2 linked regions of the Daphnia pulex genome follow. The protein of the gene in region 2 purifies or fractionates together with the protein of the main gene of each other region. This does not show direct contact. Links are inferred from orthologs where the notes say so. Each region holds a gene or a part of one and is shown on either strand. Other genes may lie near its edges. The genes, in order: GTP-binding nuclear protein Ran and SUMO-conjugating enzyme UBC9-B.

Region 1 (3,464 bases), on a different chromosome or scaffold from region 2:
GTAAGCCAATCTCCCAGAAAATTAACAAAAATGGCCCCGCATGTTATGCCTGTGAAAGTTGAATTACTTCAACACAATTCGCCGGTTTGGTTGGTGAAATCTGAATTCGAGGAATCCAGTGTCATTGATCCCGACGAGATTCGACTGCTTCCCTTCGCACCTTCACATTTGGAATCACCACAAGAAGCTACTACAAAAGTCCCATTGAGTCGTCCTTCTACATCTTCGGTACCAAAGTCAAAAGTTGACATAGACGTGGATGAAGAAGGTAATTTATTCGCCACCATTCGTCTGATTGCCCCATCGCCTTCCATCACATCAAACAAACTTAAGGCATCAAAGAATGTTAACTGCAAAAACAAGAGGACTAGTAATCACTTTGGGCACTCTGGAAAAAATCCATCATCAAGGTTAAGCACAAAAAAAGAAACAAGAGCCAAAAAAGAGGACCCATTTTCTGTCAAGAGTCTGATGGCAAAGTTCATTGAAGCTGCAAAAAATAAAAAAATCTCCTAACTTTGATAACTATATATGATAAAACTTGGAGTTCCATGTTTATTTCAGATTATTTTAGTTTATTTTTATGTGTGCATGATTAGTTCGCCAATGTGGAATGTGATGACTACTGAAACCCCCTATCCCCATATTCCCCTTTGTCTTGCGTTTTTTGTTTGGATCCTCGTTCAAGTAGTCAGTTTCGCGTTGAGTTACAAACGAACCGGTATCGCATCAAAATGTTCGTCATAGCTTTATCTCCCAAGATTTTATACACTGTGATGAAACCTTCCGAAAATTATTTTGTAATAGTTCATTGATATTTTGTTTGTAAAACAAAACTCGCCATTATTTTTTGTAACCCAGAAATTCATCGTATCAATAAATACAGATGCTTGTATGAATGATCGCCTCCGTTGTTATTTTTCTTCGAACGGTTGATTTTATAACATACAATGAAATAATGACTAACAAAAAAAACAGCAATCATAACTTTGACAGAAATATTCATCATGCTGCTACCACGTCTTTTAATGTCCTATTAATTAATTTATATACAGTGATGCTTATAGGAATTTCTTTCTTCTTTTAAAAGGTAATTTCATTTGAATTAAGTGCTACTATCCTTTTTATTAACACATTTAGCATTTTAATCTCACACAAAATAAATATATTGTTGATTAAAAAATTAAAAAACATCATCCCGTTAATAGGCCTGAATGAAATTCAACATTAATAAATTACATTCAAAGCTTTAGACAGGCTTTAGAGAAATAGAGAGCTACAGCCCTGCTACAGCCTACTTTCCATTTTCAAATTCCAACCGTCTTTTTTTCAAAGAAAAGGAAAATATTCCCGCCGTTTCTCCTAGTGAAATTTGGCAACATCTCGCTAGGAATTTTTTAGAGCCACCCATTTTCAGCCAGCCTTTACGCTACCAGAATTTTTAGAGACCAGTTTGGTATTAGAACCGCGCGATTGTGAACCTAAAGCTTAAAACCGCCGGTGAGTTAGATTTATCTTCGAATATTGTCCACATCCTTCATCTTTTCGTTGTTTTAAGTAAGCAGTAATGTTTCTTTTGCCAATCTCTTTTTAATTCGGCATGGAAAGTATTTTAGTCATCATAGTTATTTTATTCTGCATTTTTCAAGTTGTAACCTCTAACAGTCATCTTCCTCCATCAAAGACAACGCACTAAGCTAGTCAGTGGCGGTAAAACTGTTCTGTGGTAGTTGTTTGAAATAGTCCCTTTTTTCTCTTGACATTAAACATTGACAGTTAACTTGTAAGTGTTCACGAGTGTGTAAATTTTTAGAAAAATATATTTTGTTGTCGTTAGATTAAGTTCCAGTAAATTCTTGTTGAATGACGCAATCAAGTCTGATCGATTCACTTATCTTTTCTCATTATTTGTAGGATTTACAACAGAATGGCTGCCGAACCTGACATGCCCACTTTCAAGCTGGTCTTGGTTGGCGATGGTGGTACCGGAAAAACCACTTTCGTTAAGCGTCACTTGACTGGTGAATTTGAAAAGAAGTATGTGGCCACACTTGGTGTGGAAGTTCACCCTTTGGTTTTCCATACAAACCGTGGAGCCATCAGATTCAACGTGTGGGACACTGCTGGTCAGGAGAAGTTTGGAGGTCTCAGAGATGGATATTACATTCAGGTAAATGTCAGCATACTTGTATTCACATGGTCTCGACTGACTTTCATTTATCTTGCAGGGCCAATGTGCTATCATCATGTTTGATGTAACCTCTCGTGTCACCTACAAAAATGTTCCAAATTGGCACAGAGATTTGGTCCGAGTTTGTGAAAACATCCCAATTGTTCTTTGTGGCAACAAAGTTGACATTAAAGATCGTAAAGTCAAGGCCAAATCCATTGTCTTTCACAGAAAGAAGAATCTCCAGGTATGTTAATTGTGCTACTAAATTGTAAATGCAATTTGCTAAATTTTGGTTTCATTTAGTACTATGACATTAGTGCCAAGTCAAACTACAACTTTGAAAAGCCTTTCCTCTGGCTAGCACGTAAGCTAATTGGAGACCCTAACCTAGAGTTTGTTGCTATGCCTGCTCTGCAGCCACCTGAGGTGCAGATGGATCCTAATTGGCAGAAGCAAATTGAAGGTGAATTGGAGGAAGCTCAACACATTGCACTACCAGAAGATGATGAAGACTTGTAACATCAACATATTAGGATTTAAGCCACTACACCCTCCCACAAATTTTTCCATCTGTGTTTTCTGCCTTCTATCTTAACCAATTTTTATTTGCGAGGTATGAAAATACATTGTGCGTCATAATACAAAAGTCTTTCGAATTTTTGTTTATTAGTGCATAATTTATTTGCGCAAGGGAAAATATACAAAGTAGTAAAGTTAAGAAAAATGTAGTGAACAAATAAACTACTCTCTAATGAAAACATCGATACACTCGCCACCTTCAAATTCCAGACTAGACGGTGTGTCATCTTCTTCCAACATTTCGCCGTCAAATTTAAACTTCAATTTGGACAAATCAATCCCGGTTGCTTCCGCATACTTCTGCATCAAAACTGCCATAGGGTCTTCGGGGCGCATTGATATAACCACTTGTGCATTCCGGTTCTGACTCTGAACCTTTAACTCCAACAATGTTTCGTTGGAGCTGACGACAACTCCTTCTTTGCAGACTGAAGCATCTGTTAAAAAAAAGCACTGTTACAACGTTCGCTAATACCAAACCCAATCGTCCAAAGTTTTTACATTGGAAAACCAATTGACTTCATGCCAGGGTTGCTAAAACCGATTTATGACGCTGAAATGGACTGTAATTTGAATGACAAGTAACATACCAATGATGTCTGATATCCCAAGTGGCACTGTTTTGAGACTGTCATAGTCATTCAGTAGTTGATCATTGAAATATAGAATTATTTGTCCAGCATCCACATCAGTGATCTCTGATAATTTCTGG
Region 2 (3,401 bases):
CAAGCGGTGGATAGTCAATCTGTTCGGCGTGGGTCACGGAGGTGATGCTTTTAGTCGGAATCCGCAGACGGGAGAGGACTTTTCCGACCTCCACCGTGATGACAGAGAAAGCGTTGTGTGAAATTGCGCCTCCTTATTCTTGCATCCTCCACAGTCTTTTTACATGATGACAAATTTGCTTTACTTGTTTCGTGATTCGTATATTTCGCCATTTGAAAATGCCATACCCGATCTCCGATTCTTCTCGGTTAAGATTTTTAATCGATTTCAAGTCGGAATGTTTTCTTTGATTTTAGTGTATCTGTAATATTGTCGCTGCTGAAAATATTGTGATAAATCGGTTGTTGTTTTACATACCTTGTTTTGCACTTTGTACATCGATAACCCATTTAGTTCAAATTTTAATCAGGTAAGAGAGCCTTTGATGAATTCTAGTAGTTAAAAGAAGTTTGGTCTTCATAATCAGATATTCGCCAGATAAAACGCATATCAACAAAGTAGGTCACAACCAAATAAAATAGTCAAGTGACGTAATTGAAAAAAAAAAAGGTCAACAAGTGTTACACCTTACTTAGCGTTTTATTTCAGATCGGAGTATGTTTTCTGGACGATAAGTAAGTATTGAAATGAAGACAATAAGAATTTTTAAAAAACAAATAGAGCACGTGGAAAAGAAAAAGAAGTTAACTTATTCCTTGACAGCTGGATTTACTTGGGAAATTAAGACAGCAAATCAGTGGTGGCAGCCATAGCCTTGGCTTGTGCTCTAACACGTTTTTCGTACTCCATTCGATTTTGACTGGAGAAATAATCAAATGAAATATTACAATCCAAACTTTCAAGTTGTCTACTGGTGTAAAAATCATTACCAGTAGATAGTATAAGCTTCTGCCTGAGCCGGATCCTTAATATTGGGGTCATTTAGGAGATCTTGAATTCCAAGCAAAATCTGTTTGATGGTAATTGCAGGTCTCCAGTCCTTTTCTTCATCCAACAATGATAGACAAACTGTGCCTGGATATTAAATGCCAAAAGGTTAGCTAAAACAAAACACTCAAATAGCCATTTGATTCAACCTGATGGATAGACGTTTGGATGGAAAAGTGGGGGCTCAAATTTGCATTTTGGAGGAGAAGAGGGGTAGTCATCTTTAAAAATCATACGGATTTTGTACAATCCATTTTCCCAGGGAGTCTGTAAATGTATGCACAAGTTACACTTAATATTGTTACTTCAAACAACAGTGAATTTGGTAAGTATATCTGACACCAATGTGAAGTAAGATCTTTAAGTGTAAAACTCATTACCGATTTCTTGCCTGGAATAGCACATTCCCAGTTCATCAAATTGAGGGTTCCATCAGGATTCTTTGTGGGCCTGGCAACAAAACCCTAAAGGCAACGCAAAGATACACAAATCAAACACACACAACCCAACAACTATCGTTTGGCAAACCAGCAACTTACAAAGGGATGGTCTTTCCTCCAGCCTTTACGTTCCTCAGAAAGTCGAGCAATAGCAATACCGGACATTATTGGTCACTAGAGAATAAAAATTTCAGTGTGATGTAATAAGAAAGTGTGAATATGACTGAAGAAAGCAAGATGCAACAGCTCTTAAATAAATAATAGTTACCTTTTTTCAACGGCTGCCAAATAATTTAGCTGTGTAGTTTCGTACAATTATTGCCAGGGTTGCCTTAAGGTAATTCGAATAATTACAAATCAATTTAAAATTTAATTTGGGGATTTAAACGAATAAATGATGAAACATTTGCATGTAAAATATGGATTTCAATGAAATCAAACCATTTTGGCTGTAGCATGCATAAGCATTTTTAGTTTTAGTTTTCATCAACTAAAATTAAAAATGAACTGGCTATGCTGCCACTGCCTATGAAAGATGGCGCCCAGATGGTTCAAAAAACAACAGAGCAGTGAGTCACACAGGCATGCATCTTAAGTTCTTGTATTTTGTTTAAATTCCAAATTGAAAAATCAAGTGTTAAAAAAAATCATTGATATCTTCCATCTCATGTAGCTTTGATCGTTCAACATTCGAGACAAGCCAAGCGTCGTTTACGTAATGCTTCCAGAATATTCGAACACGTGAATCAACTAGTGACAAACCACAAAGGTATCACACGAAGACAAAACGAAAAAAGGTGCAAACAACCATGTCTCGAATGAATTAAGAATGATATAATCTCTAATCCTAAAGCCTCAGTTCAGTTTAACTTTGTGGATGGGGAAACTACAAAATTGATATAGAATGTTCAGAAAGGTATGAAAACATCAGTTAATTTGTCATATTAGGTCACAAACTCTAAATTTATTAAATGAAGATCTGTTATTCCCTATTATGGTTGTTTCAGCTAGGTACTTCTCGCATAGAAGGGTTGAATGTGTTAGTGCCAAAGTGGAAGGGAATGAAACATACTTGGGTATCTCAAAGCGGAAAATATCCTGTTAAATACTCATTAGATATGATGTATTGGTGATTTCACAAAACAATAGTGCTTGAATCACTATTTTGTATAGTTCAAAGATTATTACATGTGCCAGTTTTTAAACTAATTTCTTGCTTGGAAACGTAGTGTGCTATGTAATATTGTTGTGAGTCTGTCTTTATTTTTACCATTGCACTGAATAACAAATGACTCCTGAAGGGCTCAGGAAGATGCTTCTGAGAAAGTTAACTGTCAAGTAATAGAATAATGTCCATATCTAAAAAAATCTTTTGAATATAACTCCTCGTCAGTATTGGCTGTTACAGAGAAATGTCAATCATATTATAGAGCATAATTGTAAATGTTTTATTTCAGATTACTAACTATAATTTTATTATTAGGCGTAACCAATGAGTACTGGGGAATCGCGTCTTGAAAGCTTCGTGTTCCCTTCACATATTCGCACGTTTGAATGCAAATATATGGCGTTGCATGAAAGGAGATTACTGTCACCAAAGTGAGCAGGTATGTGGAAAGTAAATTTCTTTATGATAATGATATTTTATCAATAAATTAAAGATCAAAATGTTGATTTAAAATGAGCTGATAATAAAAAATTGAAATGTAAATTTTGTGACAAACGTTTATATTCCTGTAGCCAATGTAACAGACATCTAAGATTGGGATTTCAGACTACAGAAAGGACGACCAACAACAAACATCAATCGTTGTAGCCAGTGCGGTAGCAAGAATGAGGGATAGATAATTAGACAACATTAACAGAATAAGTAACGGATTATTCTGCTGTAAGACGTATGCCAGTGACTCATCCCACAATGCAGCTTTATTGATTTAATCCTTGGATTGCATGTACTTGATCAAATCGACGACACGGCACGAATAACCAAATTCGTTGTCGTACCATGAAATCAGCTTGACGAAAGTTTTGTTG

The links.
Region 1: the proteins of SUMO-conjugating enzyme UBC9-B (region 2) and GTP-binding nuclear protein Ran purify together in Homo sapiens (affinity purification with mass spectrometry; 3 studies listed by BioGRID and IntAct, counting the BioPlex papers as one, with this or other methods). This does not show direct contact. The link is inferred for Daphnia pulex from reciprocal best matches to the Homo sapiens genes UBE2I and RAN.

What each region holds. Positions count from the first base shown.
Region 1 is NC_060020.1:1,358,729-1,362,192, forward strand, and holds GTP-binding nuclear protein Ran, read left to right. Parts: upstream 1-1,347; 5' UTR 1,348-1,500; exon of another isoform or gene 1,501-1,557; intron 1,558-1,685; exon of another isoform or gene 1,686-1,783; intron 1,784-1,914; 5' UTR 1,915-1,927; coding exon 1,928-2,170; intron 2,171-2,228; coding exon 2,229-2,417; intron 2,418-2,476; coding exon 2,477-2,692; 3' UTR 2,693-2,829; downstream 2,830-3,464. Other genes in the region: uncharacterized protein LOC124192239, read left to right, coding at 1-516; NFATC2-interacting protein-like, read right to left, coding at 2,915-3,189, 3,343-3,464. UniProt on the Homo sapiens protein: GTPase involved in nucleocytoplasmic transport, participating both to the import and the export from the nucleus of proteins and RNAs. Switches between a cytoplasmic GDP- and a nuclear GTP-bound state by nucleotide exchange and GTP hydrolysis.
Region 2 is NC_060018.1:632,282-635,682, reverse strand, and holds SUMO-conjugating enzyme UBC9-B, read right to left. Parts: upstream 1,789-3,401; 5' UTR 1,636-1,788; exon of another isoform or gene 1,542-1,635; 5' UTR 1,533-1,541; coding exon 1,467-1,532; intron 1,392-1,466; coding exon 1,308-1,391; intron 1,195-1,307; coding exon 1,077-1,194; intron 1,015-1,076; coding exon 870-1,014; intron 800-869; coding exon 721-799; 3' UTR 561-720; downstream 1-560. Other genes in the region: receptor-type guanylate cyclase Gyc76C-like, read left to right, coding at 1-121; glyceraldehyde-3-phosphate dehydrogenase 2-like, read right to left, coding at 3,302-3,401. UniProt on the Homo sapiens protein: Accepts the ubiquitin-like proteins SUMO1, SUMO2, SUMO3, SUMO4 and SUMO1P1/SUMO5 from the UBLE1A-UBLE1B E1 complex and catalyzes their covalent attachment to other proteins with the help of an E3 ligase such as RANBP2, CBX4 and ZNF451.